7 linked regions of the Oryctolagus cuniculus genome follow. The protein of the gene in region 4 interacts with the protein of the main gene of each other region in a biochemical or structural test. Links are inferred from orthologs where the notes say so. Each region holds a gene or a part of one and is shown on either strand. Other genes may lie near its edges.

Region 1 (3,500 bases), on a different chromosome or scaffold from region 4:
ATAATGAAATGTAACTAATTTTAAAAGTATCATACTAACACCAATACTATACCTTCCATGCTTATTTCTCTGTCATTTAGTGTACATAACAACAATGATTCAAGCTTTTCATGAAGAAAAATCCTCAGCAAGATGCTAGCCAGTAGTGTTCTGTCTTGTCCACACACATGTGATAACGCGTAGACTACATGAAGCTCCTTTTGCAGTATAAGCTAAAAATGACACCAGAAAGACTACTTAAAAGTACTTATAGCATTTACCATTCTCACAGAAACATGAAATATGTTTTCCTAATTTTACACTTAGAAATACGTTGCAATGAATACTTTATTAAAAATAAGGCCATACATTTGACATCGCAAACAAGTCATTCTTTGGGATGCCTGCATCCCATGTCCGAATGGCTGCTTTATATCCTGACTTCTCTACTTCCAATCCAGCTTGCTGCTAACACACACCCTGGGAGGAAGCAGATGATGGCTCAAGTACTTGGGTCACTGCCAGCCACACCCAGGGACCCACATGGAGTTTCCAGCTGTGGCCTAGCCCAGCAATGACTACTGTGGGGATTTGGGAAGTGGACCAGCAGACGGAAGATCCCTGTTTGTCTCTGCCTTTCACATTAAATGAAAACAAACCAATAAAATTTAAAATAAATAGAATGAGCTTGAAGTGTACATATTTCTAGTCCTTTAAGACCAAAATTAACCTACTGCAATATTTTTTACCTCCTCTGGCTATCAGTATACCACTAAGCTATGAAATTACAATATTTAACTTAATAGCTATTATATTAACTAAAATATTTCTGTTAAAAATATTCCACCAAAAGTGATTAGACCAGTAAATACTTAATACCTCTTTAAATTCACTGTACTCTTCCTCTGGCATGATTTTTTCCATAGAATATCGTGCTCGAACACGCAAGGATCCTGGTTCAATACCTTTTAACGGTATATGGGAGCTGAGCAAAAACCATTCATCGGTGGCATGCCCCTTCTGTAAGCGGCTTAACTGGCAACGCATAAATACTTTGAAAGAAAAACAAATGCTTACTAAGAAGAAAACATTTTACTTAGTCACACAAGTAAAATTTCCTGATGCTCACAGTCTCTATAGTGTCAATCCTTTCTTTTAGAGGAACGTTAAGAATATCAGAAGTTGGATAGTGAGTTGCTACTTCATTTACTGATTACCAGCTGTGTGCTAGTACTGGGTGCTAAGTGCTACACCAGTGGTTAATGCTCTTGCAGTTCAGAAGAATCATATCTGATTCAGCCCAGACAGCTAGAAATCCATTCCCAATTGGTAACCCTTGAGATGACTTGTAGCAAGATCTGGAAGTATAGCTAAGAAAACGGTAGAGGGGGAAAAACCAGTCCAGACAGAGGGTGTGGTCTTGCTTCTGTCATTACTTAGAGAGTTGGATTTTATCATAAAAGTCATGAGAAATGACTTTAAAAATGTTAAACATTTAAACAGCATCGAAATTACAGAATAAACATTACTTATGGAGAAAAATTCAGGCTTTGATCTTGCTTAATGTATTTGGTCTATGTATATCGCTTCCTTCACTAAGCTGAGTTTTAAGAAGGTATTAACCTAGTTCAGCCTGATGTGAGCTGCTAAAATCCCACTGCCAACTGCCTTAGCAGCGGGCTGGGAAGAGGTGTGCTGCTTAGAGAAAGAATTGGGAGCACCTGATTACCAGAATTCAATAAATAGCACACTGTAGTTTAAAGAAATTTTTAAAAACAGATTACTTTTTATTATGCTAAAACAGGAAAGTAAAAAAAATATAAAAATTTGAAAGCTGGAATGGAAAGAAACCTGATAGAAAGATGACCACAGTTACCATTTTCTTATTCTTCCTATTTACTGGGGAGGGAAGAATGCTTAAGTTATTTTTAGGGGACCAAGTTCACAGTATCTGTAGTTTAGCCATTTTGGTCTTTTTTTCTTAGGTACTTAAAATGTAACAGAGAAAAATTCTCAAATTTTACACTGGTGCTTTTTTTTATTTCCATCTTAAGCTGTAGTTCCTTTAAAACTATTTAAAGCATGCCTTTTAACTTTAGAAAGAATTTCTGTATCAACTTACAGATATCAGGATCTTTGCTTTTCTTTGTTTTATTACTAAGAGTTATTTCAAATCTATTGATGTCAGGAGGAAGATCGCTAAAACAAGAAGAAAGAAAAAGAATTAACAAAATGTTCGATGTTCTGGTATTAAACTACTTGAAGTACTTAATAGTTCTGGTATCAAGCCCCCTATTTATGTTTAAAAAAAAAAAAAAAGTGTGCTGGATTTAAAACTAGATTTACAACATTTTTTTTAATTTCATAAACAAGAACACAGACAAGCAACTTATACACCTTCCTCACCAACTTTAAACTTCTAAATTAATAATTTATTCAACTTAAATCCTAGAAACCCTAGTAAACACCTTGTATGTGTGGACTAGTCAATGTTTCTAGACTTTTCAGTTACACTACTTTGTACTAATAGGTGAACAAGCAAGGGCACGGATAGTGTATCACTAATAAAGGTAAACATACAACTGAAAACAAATTATGTGTTAATAAAACACCTACACTTGGTATTCTATTTTAACAGCTTACATACACAGAGAACCAGAAGAGAAAAGAAAATGCAATGAATGCAATGTGGTAAAAGAAAATTATGTAATGTCACAATAAAATAAGACTTACTCAAAGACAAACTCTTCTGACCATACTGGGTTTTGCCCTTCCCTCGCATGAGTTTTTGCTACCTGGACACTATTCAGATAGATGTTACAATATGGATTAGTAAAGTGTTTTACTGGGAGTTTATGGGCCTCTTCAATATGTAAAACAAGGCTGCTGACCTAAAAAATACAAAAGTACATACAAAAAAGTTATTATTCCTTTATTTCAAGAATTATGCATTAAAATTCAAAAGCAATCACTATAAAAGCTTCTAATAATTTGTTTTCCTTTCAGGAAATCTGATTTTTGCTTATATTTTCCCCCCTTTTTGTGTGACACACAATAAAGTCATTTAAAATAATTTTTCTGACTTAAAATATGCAGTTTTATTTCTCAAGTTATTCCTGTTACTTATTCCTGCTGGCATAGTGAAATGTCCCTTTTTCTATCCTAAAACAATGATATAGAGAAAATGATATAGAGAAAAGGATTCTTCAGTAAACAACCATCACGACTTGAATCAAAATCCTGTGCTATGTTATGTTTATCTGGAAGATTTCAATCACTGTTAAAGGAAATTCCACAGCAAAAGAGTTTAAGACCTGGATCAGCCTTCTAATGAGTATAGAGTCTACACTGTAGACTGATCCAAGGATCAGAAACAGGATATGTGCACCATCTAAGAAAATACTTGGCACATAAAAGCAGCTCAGGAGATAATAGATACAAAAGTAATTTTATGGCTAAACTTTCATCCAAGACACAACTTGTTCTCTGCAAAAATTCAACCTGGTTTCTCCCAGTTTATA
Region 2 (3,482 bases), on a different chromosome or scaffold from region 4:
CCGGGCCCCAAGGGGAAGGGTGGCACAGCCCACCTGCCCTGCCCCCTACCTTGGCTCTGCCCTGGAAGTTGAACGTGAGCACGTACTCCCCACGCCGGGACTCACTCTGCCGCACCAGGAACACTCCGTGAGCACCCGCGCCCTGCAGCTGCACCAGCTGTGCTGCCTTCACTCTGGATATGGGGCCGTGGAACCAGGGGTAGCAGGACAGGAAATGATCCGTCTTCTGGCAAGCTGGGTCCAGCAGCCCCCCAGGAGCAGCAGCTGGGAGAGAAGATGGGAGGGGCCGGTGCTGTGGCACAGCAGGTAAAGCTGCCACCTGCGGTGCCGGCATCCCACATGGGCCCTGGTTCGAGTCCCGGCTGCTCCACTTCCAGTCAGCTCCCTACTAATGCACCTGGGAAAGCAGCAGTGCTTGGACCCCTGCCACCCACGTGGGAGACCTAGAAGCAGCTCCTGGCTTCGGTAGCCATTTGGGGAGTGAACCAGCAGATGGAAGATTTCTCTCTCAAATAAATAAACCTTAAAGAGAAGATGGGTTGACCCTGGACCGAGGCTCCACTCACCTTGGTTAGGGGCGTCTGTGCTTCCCCTGGGCGTGCTGGGCTCCAGGGGGGAGGGGACACGTGGCTCTGAATCGCTGTGCCCCAGCCTGCTGGAGAAGAGGCCACACGTGACTGGGGGGCGCAGGTTAGGGCAGAAGAGGCTGTGCCAGCGGCAGGGGTCTCGGGCCTCACCCTCGGCCTGTGCACGCCCGGAGCTCGGCCAGCCACGAATTCAGCTGCTGCTCGTCCCCCACCTCGAAGATGATGTCTGTCCGCTCCTTCACCTGGCAGAGGGAGGGAACAGCTGTCGGGCTGAGGCATGTCCGCGGGGGCCTGGGCTATGCACAGCTCTATGACCCACCTTGAGCACGAAGGTGTGGAGGTTGTCGGGCATCTCCAGGCGTGTGCACCGCCGGACCTCCTGGATGCTGGAGCAGGCTGCTTGCAGTTTGGGCTTTGAGCTCTAGGAGACCAAGAAGGGGCACTCAAGACGGGTCCCTGGTGGCAGGCACTCTGTCCACCCAGGCCTGCACAGGCGCCTGCTGTGTGCCATCGATGAACAGGCCTCTGACACCCCACACTGTGGCCTCACTGGGCAACACCCAGGGCTGCAGAGTGGCAGCACCGGCCGGGTCCCCAGGGCCTGCGGGCACCCAGCTACAGCAGGGCTGGCCCTGCAGACCCCTGCCCCCAGGAGCCTGCTGCTGCCGGGTGGGCATGGGCGTTGTCTCAGAAGGGGTGAGCCAGGCCCCACCCCCCCACACCCATCTTTTCCTTCTGTGATAAGGCGCCAGGAGATGGCTGATGACAGAGGTCGGGGCAGATTAGAAAGGGGGGTGGACAGGAGGCCGCAGGGCCCCCTCTCGCCAGCACCTGCTTTTCTCACGGACCACGAGCTAGCACGGAGGCCCCAAGATGTGTTCCTAGCACCGTGGCTTCCGGCGCTTCCAACCGCCACCTGTCCCCAAAAGGGCTCCTCATGGCCAGAGGCTGTCTTTCGAAAGGTCAGTCCCAAAGCCGCAACTTCATCGTGCCTCGGACACAGCCACCAGACGAGGACCACGACCTCGGCCTGGTCCGGGCCCTCTCCACAAGGGGGCCGATGGCTGGGGAGGAGACGGGGTGGCCTGGCCACAGAAAGCTGACCACACCAGGGCCCTTCCCGGGCTGGGCACCCCTCAGCAGGGTGGGGGCAGTAATGTGCTAACAACCGACAGAGGAAGGAGAGCAGCTCCAAGAATTTGGCTCAAATCACAGCCCATGCTGCCACTGCTGCGGCCAGGAGGGGGCAGGGCAAGGCCCTGCAGCTGGACAGGCTGGGCAGGCGGGGGGGGGGGGGGAGGGCTGCTCTTAGCTGCTGGCGCAGTTGACCAACCCTTCAAAGCGTCCATTTCCTGTCTACAAAGGGCTTCGCCCCTTCTTGTGCAGCTGACCCTGCCTGCCCGCCCTCAGGAACCCTACCAGGAAGTCTGCCAGGCCTGGGCTCCCTTTCAGTTCCGCTCCTGGCCCAGGCCCAGTGTGAGCGCCGAGATTAACCAGCAAAGCCGCCGCTCTCACTCTGTGGGGCCCCTCTCTGCCAGCTCCTCCCCCCACAGCTGCGGAACTGCTGAGCAAGCAGACTGGGGAGGATTCCCCTCCACGCCCTGGCCGCCACCTGCCTGCAGGCTGCTTCCCTGCGGGCAGCAGCGCCACCCAGGTAGGTCGGCCGCTGAGCTGCCTGGTGGCGGGCGGCTCGGCCACGGACTCGGGTTGAGGGAGCGAACGAGGCGGCAGAACGTTCCGGCACCTGGCGCAAGTGCCGCTTCTGGGGCGAAAGTCCTCTGCTCCCGTTGCAGCGACCGCCGCCTCGGTTCTTTCTGCGCTGTGGCTGTCGGGGAGCTCCGAGCTCCGACACTGTCCCAGTTCTTGGGAGGGCTTACCCCGCACTGGATCGTTCTCTTACCCTCTAGGTTGTCGGGGCCAGCCCTGACCCTGCCACTTCCAGGGCAGTCCTGAGCAAGCTGCTCTCCAGTCGTCGTAAGGCAGAGCGCGCTTCCTGGGGTTGCTATGGTGACGGGTGAGCCAGTGTAAGTGAAAGGCCTCATTCAGTGGGGCAGCCCGGGACGCACCCACTCTCCCCCACCCTGCCCTTCCTGTCACGTGCCCCTTTCCCATCCCGCAGTGACAGTCACACGGGACCCCACAGTCCTGCCCGACTGCAGGCAGTTTCTGCGAGATCAGCCGCCTTTCAGAGGGCCTGCGGCAGACAGCGTGTTCTGAAAAGCAAGGCGAGCCTGCAGGGAGGCAGAGCCGTGCGTGCTTTCACGGGGACAGCCGGGCGCTGGCTCTGGCTCTGCCCTCTCTCGTCTCTCTGGAGACCTTTGACGGTACGCACAGCTGTGCCCAACCCTGGGGCGTCCGTGGCTCTCCGCCCACCTGGGGAGGGCTACCCCCGCTCGCCTCCTGGGAGTGAGGGTCCCAGCAGTTCCATTCTAGCAAGGGCTGGAACTTGGGGGTAGCGGTGAGGCCACGGGCACACGGTGCACCTCGCGGCACTGGGTGATACTGCAGAGACCCTGCAGGGTGGGGTGGCACGCTACACACAGGCAGGACCTGTGTCCTGTGGCAGCCCCAGAAGCCATGGAGTCACCAGGTGTGGGGGATCAGCAGGACTGATTCTAGGGCAGGAACTGGAGAGACAGAAGAGGACACAGAGGGCCTGGCATGAAGACCCCAGCGTGGCTGGCCATGCCAGATGGGATCCGGCGACAGCCCCAACATGAGAGCACCCTCGTCCCCCCCAGGGCTGTGCGGCCTCACATTCCTCTCGCGCCCACTGCCCGCGGCAGACGGGGATCTCGGATGAGGCCCTACAAGCCTCAGAGGAAGCCCCGGGTCCATGCCACCAACAGCCGAGTCACCCGTGCAGCCCAGAGCCTGGTGGGTAAATGGACGAAC
Region 3 (3,959 bases), on a different chromosome or scaffold from region 4:
TTTTTGGCCCTTGGTTACATAATTTGAATAAGCAATGCAAGATTAGTATTCATTTCCTCTTAAGATAAACCCGACCAAATGTGCATATTTCATACTGATCTCCATCCCTTTTGGTAAAACACAACAATCCAAAATCAGAAGCTAAAATGCAGGTAAAATTAAAACACAGACTCACAAGAGAAAGGGACCCAATTTGTAACACCAGTGGTCACATTCAGTTAGCCACAAAGTGAACCACGTCCTTTTTATATCTTGGCTCCAAAATGCCCACGGTCCTACATCATACCTGGGGACACATTCTGGTGAATTCTTACACTGGGTCTGAGCCAGTGTTTACATCCTGCTGGCTTCTCAATGTTACCAGCACTCCGTGGGCGGAGAGTGTGTGTCTTTTCCAATAAAAAAAGTCACGCCTTGGAGTGGCAGGACTGAAATGACAATTTGGATCCTTCCCCCACTTGCCTAGGGGTAAAGCAGCTCACTGCTACCTGGCAGACAGGAGGCAACTGGTGTTGGGCACAGTAACTGAACTGGGCTGAGGAGTTCCTTAAATAGGGGAACGTGTTTGCATAAGGCAGGAATTGGACTGACTCTATCCTCCTTTTATAATTCTTTGTGCTGGAGGGGGAACAGGCCTGTGTAGACCCTGCCTGGTGCGGCGCCCCCTGCCCGGTGAACCTATTTAAGTGGAAGACCACAGTCACTGCCCAAAACATCCCAAAGGGTCTTTTTGCTGTGGTAAAGCAAAAGCGACCCTGGTGAAAGACTTAAACACCAGAGAAAGCCTTGCGGAGGGAGAAAGTAGAACCCTTTTAAGAGAAAGCATGACAGCGTTTGGCCTGGCTTGCCGGGGCTGGGGATTCTGGCTTTGGGGGGAAGAAAACGTACCCCCTCACCCCTCTCGATCCCCTACCGCCAGGGGAGCACACAGCAGAAGTAGTGACACTCCTGCACCTGTAACCCCAGGGACTGCACAGGTATTATTAGCGTGTTCCAAGTACACCAGGTAGGCCAGACCGCCGCGGCCTGGGACACTGGCCAGATATCGGAGGAAGCCAGGCGGTGAAGGCGCGCGCAAGGAGTGGAGCCCGGGAGCAACCAGGACAGGGCGAGGTCACCCAACCGTTCCACTTCTTCCCAACCGAGGCGGAAAAGGCGCATTTGTAGTTCTCTCCTCGCGGCTGCCAAGCGAACAGCTCACTGAGGAGCGCCGCGCGACTGCCCGCCCCGAACGCGGCAGTCCTGGGCGCCCCCCGCACCCCAGGCTGCAGCGGACCTGCCTGCCCCACCGAGGTGGCCCTCGTCGGGCCCGTGCGCGCACCTACCTTGACCACGTAGGTGACTCCCGGCCCCAGCACCTGGTCGCTGGCGTGCGGCGCCCCCTGCGGGGGTCTGGGCAGCGGCTCGTCGCCCGGCCGGCCCTTCCTGGAGGCGCTCATGCTCACGGCCGGAGCGCGGGGCGCGGGGGCCGCGCTGCCGTCCGGGGCGGCCAGGCTGGGCGCGCTGCAGCTGCCCGAGAGCCGCGCGCCCGCCCGCTCCCGGGCGGCCGACGACAGGCCGCGAAGGCCGGAGCTGGAGAGTTTCAGGTGGGACACCTTGTGGAGCAGGTGGCCCAGGCTGCCGGGCCCATCGTCGGGCGCCTTGCGCAGCGCCTCGCCGGACACCAGGTAGGGCGCCGCCGCGGGGGTCGCGCGCGCCGCCGAGACCTTGCCGCCGCCGCCGCCGCCGCCGCCGCTCACCGACAGGCTGTGGAGCAGGTCATCGACCGATGTCACCGAGTCATTCCTGAAGCGGTTGTACTTGGTGCGCGGAAGCATGCCCCTCCGTGGACTCGCCACATCCGCCCGGGCGCTGCTGGTGCCGGCCCCGGCGCGGGCTGCCGCGCATAGCAGGCGAGCCGCGGGCCCCGCAGCGGGACAGAACCTGGGGGTCCCGGGACAGCCTCTTGGAGAGGGACGACAGAGCCGGGGCGCGGTGCCCTCCCGCCACTAGAAGCCAGCGCCGCGGCGGCCTCGCAGCCCGGGCCCCGGAGCCCGCTGCCTGGGGTTGCACGTTCGCTCTGCTAAAGTCATAGTTGCTCTCTGATGGAGCGCCCAGCTGCTCTGGGCTGCTCACAGCGAAATCAGACTCACTGGGAGAGGAGACCCTTCTCAACAAAGGCTCGTGAGCGCTGCAAATCACTTCCTGTTGGGAAAAAAAAAGAGAGAGAGAGAGAAGAGAAAAAACGACATCCACGCGCAGTCAGCACACTGGAGCCAATCAATTCTCAAACTGCCTTTTTCTACCTCCCCAGATATTTCCTTCCGACCGTTGGTGTCTCACCTCCCCATCCCCCCGCCTCCACCCGGCGACTGTGCCAAAGGTAAATCCAGGTCCTCAGGTGGAGCACAGGGACTTGGTGAAACCCCTTCTTCTGGGTTAGGTTTGCCTCTTCCCTGCTCAGCGCCTCTGGGTGAGCCTGCGAAAGTGACGGCGACGGGTTAAAACGTGACGAAGGCTTTTTAAGAATAAGCCTTGAGCGAATCCGGTTGGATTCTGATTGGAAAGGCAGCAGGAATTTTTGGATAGGAAACAACAACAACAAAAAGGAAATATTCACCCCCCAGGTGAACATAAAATACCAGTTTCCTGGGTTTTTCTTTTTATTTTCCAATCCACACAGCGGCCATGACGAGTGTCTGTGGCAATGCAGTTTTTCCAAAAAGAAAGAAAATCTGCCTATGAACTTCTATGCAGTGGCAATCAAGGGGCCTCCCTGCTCATTTGCAGGCGTCTTCTCCAGCCAGGGTTAAACTGAATGTCTACTTCCAAAAAAAAAAAAAAAAAAAAAAAAAAGAATGCTCCTTTGATGAGGGGTAACAGGCTCCAGAAATCCACTCCCCCCAAAAAAGGGGGAGCTGTGTTTGAAGCTTTATCCCAACTGAATGTGTTTCATCTCTGGAAAAACGCCTGAGGATCGCCACCAATACATTGCAGTGTGTGCCTTCGGTTGCTGCTTGTGACCCTGCAGTCAGGAAGGAAAAAAATGCGGTTGTTCTCATTGCACATCAAATCCACAGGAAAAAAGAAAAAAAAAAAAGCCTTCTTTTCAGGAGCCCAGCTCAGGCTTGCCAGCGCCAGCACAGGCCTGACTCCTGCCAGTCAACCAAAGCCCCCAAGAATATTCGCCCAGGACTCTGCAGCCCGCCGGCCCCTTCCTGGGCAGGCTCTGCCAGTCTTCTCAGGCATTCAGAGAACCTGCTCCACCGTGGAGACTGTCAAAGTTTTCCAGCAACTTTGGGGCGAGCAAATGCATTCACCCGCCCTGAGTCTTCTCTCGCCCGTAACTGGGCCTGTGCACCACCCGAAGTCCTTGCACCGGGCTCCGCGCACCCGGGCTTAGGGAGCGAGGCTCACGGCGAGCGCGCGGGTGCGGCCGGCGCCGCGGACGCACGGGCGCAGAGGAGCCGCGGCGTCCCCGGCGCAGCAAACGCGTCCCCGCAGCTCCCCGCCGGTGCCGCAGCCCTGGCACAACAGCCGCCCAGCATTCATTTTTTCCCTGTCCCTGGTCTGCATAGCAACAGCCAAGGCACACCCCATGGACGATGTTGATGCTTCTCAAAGTCCCCCCCCAAATCTGAAGCAAAACAGCCCTGTCATTCCCAAACCGTGATCTTCATTAGAAGCAGACAAAAGCAGCAAAATGTGAATGAATGCTGTTTGTGTGAATGAAAGGGCTAGCGAGCGAGCCAGCGATTCTGTGAATGAAGCAGGGCCTTGCAGCCGGTGCCAGGCAATCCCCTGGGCTCCGGCGGGCCTCAGCCAATGGGCGGCCGCCCCGGTGACTCATTCAACAAAGGCTCGCTCAATAGTGGAAGATTCCATTTCAATCAAAGGCGGGATCTGTTACCCCACGGCAGTGTGGGAAGAAAAAAAAAACCTACCCAGCAGGATCATAAAGATGCGAGGCTGAGGGAGAG
Region 4 (3,500 bases):
GGCCCTAGTTGGGGGTGGGGGGAGAGGATAATCAAAGTTGTGGTCCTTTCCTAACTTCTCCTTTCTGAGAAGGGAAAAAAAAATCCCCTGTGTCTTCCCGCTCTGTTAACCCCTTAGTACCCTAAGGTCATACCTGAGAGGTGCCTGGTCACAAAAGGAGATCTTCCCACATTCCCCTTCAGAGTGGCAGGGGCATCTGGGGCACCCCCAGGCCTCCCTGTCTACCCCCAGCTGGGAGGGTAGAAGTCAGCTGCCCTCCAGTGCTGTTGAAAGTTGGGGGGAAGAGCAGGGCACCCCAGGGGGCGGCCTCCGGGCTGAACTTGGGTCCAGCCTGGCGCCACTCCCACCTCCGCTGCCGACAGTGTGTCCTGGGACTCTGAACGGGCTGAGCGTGACTGGCGATGCCGAGAACCAATACCAGACACTGCACAAGCTCTATGAGAAATGTGAGGTGGTGATGGGGAACCTGGAGATTGTGCTCACCGGACACAATGCTGATCTCTCCTTCCTGCAGGTGAGTGCCTGCTTCTGCCCCCCCCCCCCCGCCTCCTTTGCTTCTGCAGGACCACCCCCTGCTGGAGTTCAGTATGCCCAAGACACAGTAGTTCTGAAGATTTAAAACCTGTGCGTTTATGTGGACAGTGACTGGAACCTGGGATCTAGGGCCTGGGCGTTGATGCCAGGGACATCACAGGGGCCACCCATGAGAAGGGGGCAGGGCAGGTGGTGGGCACAGGGGGTGCAAGGTAAGGAGGACCAGGAGGCCCCCCGGGGAGATGGGGAAGAGACTCAGCCAGGATGTTCCTGGCATGAGGGACTCTGAGAAGAAAAGGGTAAGATGTAGAGTTTCTCAGTCACTTCTGCTGTCTTCACGCACAGCAGTGACACACTCATGTGACACAGTCCTTAGAAAAAATTAAGAGTTAATGATTCCTCAGTGTCTTTAAATGGGAGAAGAGGTAAAGATTATTATTTTTTGTATAAAGATTTATTTATTTGAAAGACAGTTGGGGCTGGCGCTGTGGCTTAGCAGGTTAAGCGAACTTCTGCAGAGCTGGCATCCCATATGGGTGCCAGTTCAAGTCCCAGCTGCTCCACTTCCAATCTAGCCCCCTGCTAATACACCTGGGAAAAGCAGTAGAGGATGGCCCAAGTGCTTGGGCCCCTGCACCCATGTGGGAGACCTGGGAGAAGCTTTTGGCTCCTGGCTTTGATGTAGCCCAACCCTGGCCATTGCAGCCATTTGGGGAGTGAGCCAGAGGATGCACGATCTTTCTCCTCACTCTCTGTAACTCTGATGTTCAAATGAATAAATACTTAAAAAAAAAAGAAATGGAAGACAGTGATGGGTAGAGAGGAGAAACAGGAAGAGAAGTACCTGCCATCCACTGGTTCACTCCCCAAATGGCCACGAGAGTCGGGTCTGGAGCAGGCTGAAGTCAGGTGCCCGGAACTCCATCCGGTCTCCCACATGAGTAGCAGGGGTCTAAGTACTTGGGTCATCCTCCGCTGTCTTTCTAGGTGCCTTAGCAGAGAAGCTGGGATTAGAACCAGCATTCCTATATGGAATGCTGGCATCAGAGGCAGCCACTAAACCCCCTGTGCCCCAAGGTCAGCCCTGGGATTGGGATTTTTTGGTTCTGCCATCCCTCTCATTGACGCGCTCTCCATCACAGTGGATCCGAGAAGTGACGGGCTACGTCCTCGTGGCCATGAACGAGTTCTCTACGCTACCCTTGCCCAACCTCCGAGTGGTGCGCGGGACTCAGGTGTACGATGGGAAGTTCGCCATCTTTGTCATGTTGAACTACAATACCAACTCCAGCCACGCGCTGCGCCAGCTCCGCTTCACTCAGCTCACCGGTCAGTTCTTGAGGAGTCCTCTGGCCTTGCCCCACAGCCAGCCTGCTGACAAGGACCTCCTGGAGGAGGACCCCTGCCTTCCCACTTTAGGTGCCCCTCTGGGGCACCCCGCAACCTTGGCCTCTGTGGTCTCAAGACCCCCTGGGGGAGGGCCTCACAGCATGGTGGGCTGGAGATGGAGCTGCACTGTTCCCTCCTTCCCCAGGAATCTTTGCTTCCTCTCACGTCTATAGGGTTAAATATCACCTAGTCCCAGTCAGTTGGAAAACACACACACACACACACACACACACAAACACGTAGGCCTCGGGAGAGGGGGTGTTGAGTCAGAGATGTTCTCTTGCCTCCTTTCCTTTCCCTTCCCCCACTTGCTAAACCGGATCTGGACAGGTGTCTGAGGAGGCAGGAGTTGCTTTTCCGCCTGACTCCTCCTTTTCTGAGGCGAGCCGCTTCCGTCGCTGAGATTTCGCTGGACATATCTGTCTGCCCGGTGCCCCCTGCCCCCCGCCTGCTCCAGAATGGCCTTTTGGATGGGAGCCGGGGGATGGTGGTGGAGAGGAGAGGATGCCACAGCAAGTAGCCCCTAACCCTGTCACTTCTCTTCCCTCCCTCAGAGATTCTGTCCGGGGGCGTTTATATCGAGAAGAATGACAAGCTTTGTCACATGGACACGATCGACTGGAGGGACATCGTGAGGGACCCAGGAGCTGAGATAGTGGTGAAGGACAATGGCCGGAGCTGTGAGTGGCCGGGGTTGAGCCCCCCACCCCCAGACAAACCAGAGAGACTCCCTTCCCTGCCTCCTGGCCTCCCTGCTGAGTAAACTCCTGGGGCTCCAGAGCCAAGGGCCACACAGGAGGGACTGGGTCCAGTCCCTGGAACCCAACCTAAGCAGCTGAGGAAAAGGGGCCCAGAGCTCTCCGTGTACAAAGCAGAGGGACCAAGTTTCTGGACTCCTTTCCTGCACACGCCCTACCTCCCCTGACCACGATCTGCTGCTCCCTGTTCATTCACACGCATGTATTTAGTTTGCCAAGGAGGAACCAGGTTCCTGGGTTGGGACTGGGGCTGAGGTTGGCATTGGCCCCAGCCCCTCCCCTTCAGCTGCCCAGTGGGTGGTGTGGAGGCGTGGCTCCACCCCTTGTTGACAGGTTCACTGGAGCCCAGCCCTGCTCTCCAAGGGCAGGGAGGGGACACTGCCCTGCCTCTTTGTTTCCCGGGCCGAGGTGCCTGTGTGCTGACATCATAGGCTGTTGATTCAAGCAAGCGTTTCTGAGCCCTGATGGCCTCTTCTGTCGCCTTCTTTCCCAATCAGGTCCCCCGTGTCACGAGGTCTGCAAGGGGAGATGCTGGGGTCCTGGACCAGAAGACTGCCAGACACGTGGGTTTGAACTTCCCTCGAAAACCCTCAAACCCACAGGCTTTCATGCCCCTGCCTACCCAAGCCCGTGTCAGCCCTGAGGCTGGGGATGGGCAACGCCGTAGAATTCAGTGCTTTCTCTCCTTCCACAGTGACCAAGACCATCTGTGCCCCTCAGTGTAACGGCCACTGCTTTGGGCCCGACCCCAACCAGTGCTGCCATGATGAGTGCGCCGGGGGCTGCTCAGGCCCTCAGGACACCGACTGCTTCGTACGT
Region 5 (3,500 bases), on a different chromosome or scaffold from region 4:
TAAATACAAACAGTAAGACTTTTATCTGAGGATCCTCATGGAAATGGAATTAAGATACCATTTTCTGGTGCAAAAAAAAAAAAAAACCTGGAAAACCATGAATAGATTTTTCATAATATGCATTTTCCAAGAACTTTGAAGACTCCCTGTATATTACTTAAGTATCCTCAAGAGTATAGTAAAAAAAAAAAAAAAAAAAAAAAAAAAAAAAAACCAGATTGTAGAATAAGGAGACTGGCCTGTCAAAAGCTATTGCATGGCACCTGGTATAACCCACAAGGTCTAGGGCGCGGCCTCCTGCCTGCAGCCTAGATGGCCTGGCTGTCCTGTGTCGCAACCTCCAGGCAGTTGCAAGGAAAGCGCGTGTGGCTTCCCCGAGTACTCATTCCCCCACCCCAGCCTGCACCTGCACCTGCAAGAAATGGGATCACACGCATGATGGCAGAAAGCCTTGACCATGCGGACTTAACGATGGGGAAATCCAACATGGGGGAAGGGGCTGGCAGCCACGCCATTTGGTTTCTCTGTCTTTTTCGGTGGGAGAGACATAGATCATCTCATTAGTCACTGAAGAGCCAAAGTTCGATTCCTCGCATTGGAGAAGAGAAGCACTAACAACATAACTGTTGCCATCCCACAGCAGGAGCTGGAAGAAGGGAGGCAGAAGGCAGGGAGGGAGACAAGGACGGCGACAGTCATACACCACGGGGCACGCGGAACAAGGTGAACGGAGGAAAAAGCACATGGCTGTAGATCACAGGCCAGACATAGCCCTGGGCACCGGCAATGCCACGGCTGAATAGCAGGCGCATCGCGTTTTGTGGAGGAAGCCACTCTGCGAAGGCTACATGCTGTGGAATTCCCCTTACGTGACATTCTAGAAAAGGCGAAACGGTGGGGACAGGAATCAAATGAGCGGTTTCCAGGAGCTGGGACAGATGAAGGTGAGGGAGCTAATGCCTGCCTTGACGATGTAGGGATTATGTGATACCAGGCATATGTCAAAGATCATAGGACTGCACACTCAAAACGGATCAATTCACTGTGTGTAAACTCCACCCAAGAAATATGACTTACCTGACTTAATAAAGAATAAATGCATGGCCTAAGACATACCCAATGAATACGAATGAAAAATACTGAGTACATTATTGCAAAATCCCTCTGCGAGGCTGAATTTAACACAGGCCATACTGAATGAATAAACGGAGTCTCTATGGCGTCCTCAGAGGATCCATATGGCCATAAATCAGCATGCATCAAATACATAGCAAAGCACAAGACAGACCTCCCGGGAGCACAAGGAGAAGTGGTTGAGCACTTATGTCCAAGAAGAGACTATCAATCTAAACTGTTGGCTCTTGACACCAAATACTATCAAGAATGAATGTGGCAGGAGCGCAAATGGTTACAACCTCTGTCACCTTTGTAGATGGAACTCGTCAATGTATCCACATTAAACACACACACACACACACACACACACACTCATACCCTGGGCTGTGACAAACCTAGCCTTTTTAGAGTTTATCTGGCAGGCATTGCACATAAGCTTAGTTTAAGATGGGGACAGAATACTGTTGTTAGGAGAATTATTTTTCAAACCATAAAAATGTCCATCAACAAGGACTAGCTAAATAAATTTGGTACACAACAGGCAATGCCAGGCAACCAAAGACAGGGTAACTGATACATAGAAATGTCTGCAAGAGATTTAGGAAGCTATTAAATCTGGTTCCAAGCCGGTGCCGCGGCTCACTAGGCTAATTCTCCACCTTGCGGCGCCAGCACACCAGGTTCTAGTCCTGGCCAGGGCACCGGATTCCGTCCCGGTTGCCCCTCTTCCAGGCCAGCTCTCTGCTGTGGCCAGGGAGTGCAGTGGAGGATGGCCCAAGTGCTTGGGCCCTGCACCCCATGGGAGACCAGGATAAGCACCTGGCTCCTGCCATCGGATCAGCGCGGTGCGCCGGCCGCAGCGCGCCAGCAGTGGCGGCCATTGGAGGGTGAACCAACGGCAGAGGAAGACCTTTCTCTCTGTCTCTCTCTCTCTCTCACTGTCCACTCTGCCTGTCAAAAAAAAAAAATCTGGTTCCAAACAGCGGGCACACCATGACCTTGTTAGGAGAATAAATAACAATAGATGCCCAGCCATGCCTCTCCCAAAGGGCCCGCCATGAACTGGGTGGCAGGGGAATGGCTTCCTGCAGTGGAGACACCCACGTGGCTGGAGGGCAGGGGCCCACTCTCTGGGCTGTGTTTGTACAGAGGAAGGGCAGTCTTCTTGGAGCATTTGGAGCCAGGGTTGATGACTACGGAAATGGTTGCCGGGAGATTTCTTCAATAGGTTTGCAGAAGATAGAATTAAAAAAAAAAAAATTTTGTGCAAAATACTTTGAAATCCATGCACACATGGGATCTTCAAAGTTCATGGGAAATGCATATTACGAAAAAACTATGCACGGATTTGGGCGCTGTGGTATGGTTTACATGCACCATGGTTCTGCACGTGTGGGTTTATAGGGACCTATGAACTCAGGGCTGGCCACACCTCACCTGCAGGTTCCACGTCTGCTTCACGTACTCCCTGATGAGGCTCTCCTTCAAGTCCTCAAAGGGCCCGGTCTTGGGCTGCACCCCAGGGGGCCGGTTGAAGGGCGTCTTGAGGAGGCAGATGAGGCCGTCGGACTCCTGAGAGTGGTAGTGACAGAGCTCGGCGGGGCTGCTGTGTGTCCTGCCACCAGCGATGGCATAGGTCCCATTGAGCTCCCTCTCGATGGTGTAGTGGTGCGCCTTCCTCCCGTGGGCCACCGACAGGGCAAAGCCGCCCAGGTAATTGCGACTCTGGCGCAGCAGGTAGAGCCCATCAGTCATGCCTCCCTGGACCAGGTAATCCTCGGCCTCTTCCCGGGTGATGTTGCCGAAGAAGAAGGGCAGGTGGTTGGCACTGTCCACCGTGTTGCTGGCCATGGCTGTGCTGGCCCCTTAGGAGATGCAAGGGCACATGCAGGGGTCCACCTGGGGCAAGACAAAGATGGGAGTGTCGGTCAGCTTCTGTTACTGTAATGAAATGCCCAAGAAAGGATACTTTATAAAGAGGTTTACTTTGGCTCATGCTTCTAGATGTGCTGGCTCCAAATAACATAGCAAGGCTCTGGCAAAGGACTTTTGGAATATAACATATCGTGGTGGGAGCATACATGTCTGTTTATATCTCCTCTTTCCTTATAAAGCCACTAGGATCTGATCCTGAGGGCTCCACGCCATGATTTAATCCAATCTAATCACTGCCCAAAGGTTCCACCGGGGAGCAGCACACTTGGATCAAGTCCCCAGCCCCCTAGCACCATGAACACAAGACCTTGTGGATTAGACTTCCACGTGAGTGTGGGGGGACAGATTCTCAGATCACTCAATGTGAGGAGCCCAAGCAGCAAGGGGCATTTGCTAAAACCCCCTGGATCCTTTCAAACCGGAGACCTGCCAGTCCAGCTCAGAATGGA
Region 6 (3,500 bases), on a different chromosome or scaffold from region 4:
GCCTTTTATTTTTCAGACAGCACCTGGGGTACATAAACGATTTTTCCGGAAAATAAAAAATCTCATTTCAGCATTTCAGAAGCCAGATCAAGGCATTGTAATACCTCTGCAATATCCAGTTGAGAAGTCCTCAGCCCGAAGTACACAAGGTACTACAGATTTGGGTTTACTATTATTTTTTGACAGGGCTTGGAAGTTCAGGGTTATGTATTAACCTATTTATAACAATACAATCACTTAGAAGTTCTTCAGGAAAGATGCAATGAGAAAGTAGAGGTAGCTGGAAGATCAAGTGAGTGGTAATTATGTGCTATAGTTTCAACATGCTATACTACAAACTTTTAATAAAGCTGTGCAAAAATGTCAACAATTCTGTAAACCCACTACATTTTAATCCCTATTGTTCCATTTTATTCTCCTCAGTCCCTTTGTAGGTATGTAAGTCCTATTTCACTTTACTAATTCAGACACTAGCAATTTGAAAGATGGGATACTTCAGGGAATATCTCGGCTGTTCTTTACCTTTGCTTAGTAAACTTTTTTTTCCCCTTCAGGGATATAAAGGCTAATGTTACTTGGTCTATGTGATCCTGATGTCTGAATTGGTACTGCTTAATTAATGAAATTTTATTGTGGTAAAGAAAATTAAATTAGTGGACTTTATTATTCCACTGGCACAAACTGCTATAACTCCTGAGCAAAGCTATTTTAGCTTGTATGTCAGGCTAAAATGAATACCTGCAGATGCCTGTAATGGTCTGAAACGTGACTGTATGCCTCTATTGAAAGGGGTAAATCATAGCCGGTGCTGCGGCTCACTAGGCTAATCCTCTGCCTGTGGCGCTGGCACCCCTGGTTCTAGTCTTGGTTGGGGCGCCGGATTCTGTCCCGGTTGCTCCTTTTCCAGTCCAGCTCTCTGCTGTGGCCCGGGAGTGCAGTGGAGGATGGCCCAAGTGCTTGGGCCCTGCACCCGCATGGGAGACCAGAAGGAAGCATCTGGCTCCTGGCTTCAGATCGGTGCGGTGCGCCAGCTGTAGCAGCCATTTGGGGGGTGAACCGATGAAAGGAAGACCTTTCTCTCTCTCTCTCTCTCTCTCACTGTCTAACTCTGCCTGTCAAAAAAAAAAAAAAAAAAGAAAGGGGTAAATCATTTGTTTGGAGTAAGAGGATATGCCTTGATTGAAACAATAAATATTTATGATAAAAGAAAATGAATCATTATGTCCTTTTAATTTTTTGACAGGGACTCAGGCATAAACTGACAATTAGACTCAAGTGGCAAATTAAATTAATGAATACTTAGCCTTAATAATGGAAATATAAATAGAACTCTAATTGGCTAATTGTTCTCTTCTGCCCAGTATTCCATTCTTCAAAACTCAGTTTTAAATAATAGTTGCTTAAGGTGTATCATCGTGTTATATTGTTGTAAATTTTATACAGTAGGAAATTTGATTATACATTTGAGTTAACTTATGCTGTAAATAGTTTGAATGCTTATCTTTTCTTGAGTTTTGTTATTACTTTTTTAGGGAGAAGAGAAGATCCTGATGTATGCCTGAAAGCACCATGAAGAAAAAGAAAACACCTTGTACTTTATTCAGTAATTTAAATATATGCTAAGTCTTATATATTGTAGATAATACAGTTCAGTGAGCTACAAATGCATTTCTAAAACCATCATAGTCCTCTAATGGAAGCATCTAGCCTGATGTTCAAGCTGAGATGGGCTTTGTAGATAATGAAGAGCTTTGAAATGGGGATTGGAAAAAAAATAATTCCCTAGGTTATCTTCAGTTATTGTATTTACAAATGGGAAACAATTTAAAGCACAATGAATACTTTATAAGAGATTGATATCAATTCTTGCCAAATACAAATAAAAATAATACTCAGTTTTTGTCAAAAGCACCATTTTTAGTGAAATATTATTTGAGAGTTACCGATTTGAAATTGTTTCGCTTTGACTGTATGGAGGGATGTTGGTTAGTAGCCTTCATCTTTGGCATATGCAGTTCTCCATTAGCTATGGTGTCATAGGCTCTTTTGGGATTCATGAAGCTGTGTACTGTTTGCTAAAGTAAGGACTAGAGAAATAGCAAAGCGTTTCTGTTTAATTCTGAAAGCCACCTTCTTGCCTAGTGTTCTGATGTAGTACAGTAATCATCTACATACTAATGTGGAGTTGAAAATCCCACAATTAAAAATATGCTCTAAATATTGACTATATTTGATGCTCCGGGATTTAAACTTACAAATCCGGTGAAGTGTACTTTTCATCTTTTAGTTTGCCTCTGTGCAGGTTGTTTCCACTACACGTGAAACCTGATTTAAAGGGCAACCTCAGCAGCTGCAGGTCTTCCAGTAAGTCATGCGGAAGCACCTCCCTCTTAGGTATCCCTAGAAGCCCATTGGAAAGCTTACGGTTACATTAACTTTTAACAATTCCAAGTGATTGAAAGCTAAGTGAGAGTCTGAATTTTATGCAGTATTTTCTTTTCACATTTGTATTTGCATGACTTGAGTGATTGATTTTATGTTGGGTTGCTTCAGGGCTCATTGAATTGCTTCAGCCAACAAACATAAGAGGGCACGGGGCGGTGGGTAGAGAAATAAAAACACTTGATCCCTGTCCTTGGATAGCTCACTGTCTAGTTGCACAAGAAAACAACAATAAAGGTGGATAAATACATGATAAGTGAGATTCCCCATGTGTAGGTAGGTCTGCCTTTAGAGGCAGAATGAAGTAACAAATACTGTGGTTTCTGGTCTACTGGAAAAGGCTGAGCTTTATTGTGAACTAATCAATTGGGGTTCCAGGTTGTACATGCGTGTTGGTGGGCTTGGTTAATAATTAATGGACTGCTGAGAGACAGTACTACTCCCCATGTGCTGTCAAGGTCCGATTTGTGAACACTGAACATCGACGCTGTGGGAGTGCACAAGGTGGAGTACAGTCACGATAAGGTATAGGGCATGGTTTGCTATTTCTTGAATTAAGAGCATCACTTTAAATTGTAAAGGATTCCAGAAAGCCTACTTTCTAGACAAAAATGCATGTGTTTCTTATTTTTTAATTATTTGAAGCTTGAGTTTAAGTTATAAAATGTGTAGCTAATTTTTACTCTTGAATGTGCTCATTCTGGATTAATCCTAAACACATGAATCATGTTTGCATGTGCTTTTATGAGAGCTTTTTTTTTTTTTTGAAAACAGCTATCTTGAATCATTTATGGTCTTCCACATTTTAATAAAGTGTTTGAAAGCTTCATTTACCTAATTTGTCTTAAAATACTCCTTTTGAAAATATGCAGAGCAGAGGCTATTAATAAAGGAAATAAAGCACTGATGAAGGCCATCTTACTTATCTTATTGAACAGCTTCCCTGGAAAGGTAAGTGCTTCTCTGATTGTGCTATTGTCAGATTTGCCAGCTGATGAGCCCACCCCCTGTCTTCTTCGGCTGGCCTTTTATTCATCAACTTTTTTTCCCTCACTTTT
Region 7 (4,163 bases), on a different chromosome or scaffold from region 4:
CACACCATGATTTCATTCTCTGGCCTCTAGAATTTTGCGACAATCCATTTCTGTAGTTTGACGACTCACAGTTTGTGCTAATTGTTATAGCAGCTGCAAGAAACTAATATTCCAAGTGAATAAAGTAGGATAGAGGAAGGCATTTCCATTATAATCTCAACTGTATGAAGAGATGTATGGCAAAAATTCAAGAGGAACTCATCAACATGTTAGTAATGTAATGACATTATCATAGTCTTGTTTGCACATTTAAGATTTATGTATTTTCCAGATTCTCTAGAATGAGTACTGTTTTTGAACTAAAAAATTAAAATACATCCCTTTGGGTTCTGAAAAGCCATATGTGTTGTTATGTTAATTGCTGTAAAATTTACAACAGAAAAATTGGAACCAATATAATATCTAATGTTTGATAATGGTTAATTAGATTCTGGTTTGTTCTGACGGAATTAAGCTTCTATAATTATGACTATTATGTAGTAATAAAGGAAAAGTTTTAGCAAAACAAGGAGACAGCATAGCTTAATAGTTAAGCTTACTGTAGGCACTAGAAACTGAATGCATTTTAAAAGACCTGCTTTTTTAGTAACTATGCACCTTGATAATCTCTTTGCTTCTTGATTTTCTTATCTAAGGAATAATAAAATGGAGTTAAAGGTTATTTGAGGTTCAAATGGCTAATACTATACTTGTATTTCATCTATTCTAAGGAACATGTTTTCCCATATATATGTATGTTGGTGTATATATATATATACATATACATATATATAATATATTAATTTGAAAGGCAGAGAGACAGAGAAAGATCTTCTAACTGATGATTCACTCCTCAAATGATGGCAAGAGGCAAGGCTAGGCCAGGCTGAAGTTGGGAGCCAGGAATTTAATCCAAGTCTCCAACAAGCGTGGCAGGAATTCAAGCACTTAAGACATCATCTGCTGCCTCCCAAGGTATATATTAACAGGAAGCTGGAATGGCAAGTGGAGCCAGGATTCGAACCCAGGAATCTCCATATGTGATGCCGCTGTCCCATACAAAGTCCTAACTGCTGGATGTGAGGGCGATCTGGCTGCAACATCTGTCACCCCATTGATCACCAGGGTTGATTCGGCTGATCTGGCTGGCTAGGCGACTGTCCCCTTCCTCCCTCACTGCTCCATGTGCGTCTCTCCTGAAGTTGCGCCCTTGGTCAAAGAGGACGACCTTACCCGCTAAAGGAGGACCGGTCTTCAGTCAAGGGTTTACAAGTAGCTGCACTCCCCTGCCAGAACCTCCAAACAAGCTCTCAAAGTCCTAAGTGTTGCACCAAACTCTCATCCCATTTCCACATTTTAACTTCTCTGATACTGTACTATTACTTAAAATTGATGGTTTCTTATAGAAAGGGATATATATGTGTATATATGCATATGTGTATGTATGTGTATATATGTGTATATATATGTATATATATCTGACCATCACTGTTCATGTGGTTCTCACATACATTGTATTAGTACATAAATTACTACATAATTTGAATTTGTCATTTTAAAATGCCTTAACAACTTTATTATGATCCACCATGGAAACAAAAGTTATTCTGTATGGATAAAAGCACAGAAATAGAGCAGGAGGTCTTAAGTTCGATATTTGGCAAGGCAAGCATTTATCTTTGCAGGAGAGACTGCAATTCTACATGTTCATGTGAAGCAACCACAGAGAGGAAGCTGTGACTAAGACACAAGCTTATCATACAGCAGCCAATGTCAAGAGAAGCTGAAACAGCTTGTAGTAGACAAAAGCAATGAGAGGCTGATATGACCAATGCAAGCCTTGTGCAGAACCATCACTCAGGTGTCAGGCACCAAAGTGTCAGAAACCTCCTGTTGACTGGAGACAGAATTGCTTCACTTCCAGAGATACGTGGTTCAGTTGGAAAAAAAATCATCATGTTGTTTGTGTTATAGTTTAGTAGGCAGGGTTTTTTTTTTTCTCAAGTTCTTTCTTAATGAGACACAAGCTAATGATGCCTCTTAAAATCAAAAACATCTTAATTTCAATGGAATATCATTCAAAGAATGATATTCCTGGCACATGATAAGCATGTTCTAAAGGTCAGGTCAGTTATAGGTCATCAGAACAATAAGCAGACTATAAGGTGATGCCTACATATTCCACTGTAAGAATCAACAAAGGTTTAGAAAGGATATATAAAAATGCAAATGATATCTTAGATTGGTGGTTTGATGGATATCTTCTATTTTCAATTTGTTACAGAAGTGTGCTGTTTTCTTGCAACTAAAGAAATTTTAATTGAAAAAATGTATTTCATGAGCATGGTAAAAAAAAAGTCAACAATTTAAGGGGTCTATAAATGAAATATAAAACTTTTCTATCCCAGACCCCATTTTTGCTTTCCCAGAAGCGATTACTGACTGTATTTTCATATGTGACCTTCAATTTGTGTATGTATAAACAATCAAACATGTAAATGGCTGTGTCCTTATACCAATGAAAGAATACATACTATTCTCTTTTCATTTTGATGTTAATTTTATATCTGAATTTTGTCCCAAAATTCATATAAATCTTCATTTTTCTTGACATCCACACAGTATGATTCTTAGTAGGAAACAGAACCCATTCTAGATAATTCAGACAGAAAGGGATTTAAAGCAGGAAACTGGGTACTTACAAAATTGTAGGATGCAGAAGATAGGGGCCTGCTACTGGATGTCAGGTTCAAGGGCACACCACATGACCCAGAGGTCAGCAAACTGCTGCGGCTTCCACTGCTTGAGCCCTTTAAGTGCCTCTGTTCTTCAGCTGGTGCCCAGTCACTTGACTGCTGCATCCGGGCCAGAGGCTCTAGATTATGATAACGCTGATAACCAGACAACTGGAATGCTGAGTCTGGCCACAAGCACCAGTGAACGAGATAGTAGCTCTGAGGAAGGAGGCGGCCCCACTGACTTCCTGTTTCTCATCGCTGGAGCAGTCTCACCGAGTCTTAGCCGTGAGAGGCCTGGAGACAAGTAGGCTCTTCCGTGGAATGAAAACATAGACAAGGGTTTAGAAATGGATGTGGAGTGTTAATTCACCACCAGCAACACAGCGTCCTACCGTACTGTTATTTCACTGGTTCCCACCGGGGGAGGCAAGGCCTTGTACTTAGGCCTAGATTACAGTTTTGCCAGTACAGCGAGCCAATGTGCATCTAAATCTAACTTTGAGCAGTAATACATTTTCTGGGGCTGGCGCTGTGGCGCAGCAAGTTCATGCTCTGGCCTGAAGCACCATATGGCTGCCGGTTCGAGACCTAGCTGCTACTCTTCCCATCCAGCTCTCTGCTATGGCCTGGGAATGCAGTAGAAGATGGCCCAAGTGCTTGGGCCCCTGCACCTGCGTGGGAGATTTGGAAGAAGCTCCTGGCTCCTGGCTTCAGATAGGCACAGCTCTGGCTGTTGCAGTCATCTGGGGAGTGAACCATCGGATGGAAGACCTCTCTCTCTCTCTCTGCCTCTCCTCTCTGTGTAACTGACTTTCAAATAAATAACTAAATCTTTAAAAAAAAAAATAATGCATTTTCTCAGTAAAACTGGTGGTGGTGTAGTTTAGTAACAAAGCAAAAACTTGTCTCACGCTGGCTGAAGCACAAAACAGTGTTAACAGTGCCATAATTTCATCAAGAGTAGATTTTTTTTATTATTTAAATTGCTTAGACATTTAGTCCTGTAACAGTTTACCCATCCAGAATTGTACTCCACGTCCTCATTGGCTCTCCTGGCCTTGAGACACTATGAAATGCTTTAGAAAAACCTTTATTCTTCCACTTTAAACCCTCGAGAAACGTCAGAGTTACAGCTTTGGGTGTCCCGCCTCCGCCTCCTATCCTGCTTGGGTTCCTTGTTTAGCAGCCCAGCAACTGGGAGGAACCCGAAGAGGCTCAGCAGAGCCACGTGATTACCACCTGTGCCGTGCAGAGGCGGGAGGAGAAGCCGTGGTTAGCATTCTTGGAGTGCATGCCAGAGGCCAAGCCTCCTTCCTTCATTGAATTCTCCGGATGACTTTGTGAAGAATAGGCACCATTGTGATCCCCATGTACAAATGGACAGGGCGAGGTGAAGAGCTCGTCCAAGGTCACAGTGCTAGTTTTGGAAGGAAGCTAGACTTGCCA

Evidence for each region.
Region 1: the proteins of ERBB3 (region 4) and RASA1 form a complex in vitro, tested with the Homo sapiens proteins (2 studies listed by BioGRID and IntAct, with this or other methods). The link is inferred for Oryctolagus cuniculus from reciprocal best matches to the Homo sapiens genes ERBB3 and RASA1.
Region 2: the proteins of ERBB3 (region 4) and SH2B3 form a complex in vitro, tested with the Homo sapiens proteins (2 studies listed by BioGRID and IntAct, with this or other methods). The link is inferred for Oryctolagus cuniculus from reciprocal best matches to the Homo sapiens genes ERBB3 and SH2B3.
Region 3: the proteins of ERBB3 (region 4) and SHC3 form a complex in vitro, tested with the Homo sapiens proteins (2 studies listed by BioGRID and IntAct, with this or other methods). The link is inferred for Oryctolagus cuniculus from reciprocal best matches to the Homo sapiens genes ERBB3 and SHC3.
Region 5: the proteins of ERBB3 (region 4) and SYK form a complex in vitro, tested with the Homo sapiens proteins (2 studies listed by BioGRID and IntAct, with this or other methods). The link is inferred for Oryctolagus cuniculus from reciprocal best matches to the Homo sapiens genes ERBB3 and SYK.
Region 6: the proteins of ERBB3 (region 4) and SH2D1A form a complex in vitro, tested with the Homo sapiens proteins (2 studies listed by BioGRID and IntAct, with this or other methods). The link is inferred for Oryctolagus cuniculus from reciprocal best matches to the Homo sapiens genes ERBB3 and SH2D1A.
Region 7: the proteins of ERBB3 (region 4) and FER form a complex in vitro, tested with the Homo sapiens proteins (2 studies listed by BioGRID and IntAct, with this or other methods). The link is inferred for Oryctolagus cuniculus from reciprocal best matches to the Homo sapiens genes ERBB3 and FER.

The regions. Positions count from the first base shown.
Region 1 is NC_091445.1:10,280,050-10,283,549, reverse strand, and holds part of RASA1 (ras GTPase-activating protein 1), read right to left. Parts: intron 2,871-3,500; coding exon 2,713-2,870; intron 2,179-2,712; coding exon 2,102-2,178; intron 1,032-2,101; coding exon 859-1,031; intron 213-858; coding exon 53-212; intron 1-52. UniProt on the Homo sapiens protein: Inhibitory regulator of the Ras-cyclic AMP pathway. Stimulates the GTPase of normal but not oncogenic Ras p21; this stimulation may be further increased in the presence of NCK1.
Region 2 is NC_091452.1:8,875,179-8,878,660, reverse strand, and holds part of SH2B3 (SH2B adapter protein 3), read right to left. Parts: intron 1,009-3,482; coding exon 907-1,008; intron 830-906; coding exon 738-829; intron 656-737; coding exon 567-655; intron 265-566; coding exon 50-264; intron 1-49. UniProt on the Homo sapiens protein: Links T-cell receptor activation signal to phospholipase C-gamma-1, GRB2 and phosphatidylinositol 3-kinase.
Region 3 is NC_091432.1:137,986,897-137,990,855, forward strand, and holds the start of SHC3 (SHC-transforming protein 3), read right to left. Parts: upstream 2,801-3,959; 5' UTR 2,323-2,800; intron 2,316-2,322; exon of another isoform or gene 2,185-2,315; 5' UTR 1,818-2,184; coding exon 1,326-1,817; intron 1-1,325. UniProt on the Homo sapiens protein: Signaling adapter that couples activated growth factor receptors to signaling pathway in neurons. Involved in the signal transduction pathways of neurotrophin-activated Trk receptors in cortical neurons.
Region 4 is NC_091442.1:58,882,812-58,886,311, forward strand, and holds part of ERBB3 (receptor tyrosine-protein kinase erbB-3), read left to right. Parts: intron 1-362; coding exon 363-514; intron 515-1,676; coding exon 1,677-1,863; intron 1,864-2,477; coding exon 2,478-2,603; intron 2,604-3,178; coding exon 3,179-3,244; intron 3,245-3,375; coding exon 3,376-3,494; intron 3,495-3,500. UniProt on the Homo sapiens protein: Tyrosine-protein kinase that plays an essential role as cell surface receptor for neuregulins.
Region 5 is NC_091432.1:139,310,811-139,314,310, reverse strand, and holds part of SYK (tyrosine-protein kinase SYK), read right to left. Parts: intron 3,016-3,500; 5' UTR 2,968-3,015; coding exon 2,554-2,967; intron 1-2,553. UniProt on the Homo sapiens protein: Non-receptor tyrosine kinase which mediates signal transduction downstream of a variety of transmembrane receptors including classical immunoreceptors like the B-cell receptor (BCR).
Region 6 is NC_091453.1:102,156,218-102,159,717, forward strand, and holds the end of SH2D1A (SH2 domain-containing protein 1A), read left to right. Parts: intron 1-16; coding exon 17-149; intron 150-1,532; coding exon 1,533-1,573; 3' UTR 1,574-3,280; downstream 3,281-3,500.
Region 7 is NC_091445.1:31,373,146-31,377,308, reverse strand, and holds the start of FER (tyrosine-protein kinase Fer), read right to left. Parts: upstream 2,801-4,163; 5' UTR 2,682-2,800; intron 1-2,681. UniProt on the Homo sapiens protein: Tyrosine-protein kinase that acts downstream of cell surface receptors for growth factors and plays a role in the regulation of the actin cytoskeleton, microtubule assembly, lamellipodia formation, cell adhesion, cell migration and chemotaxis.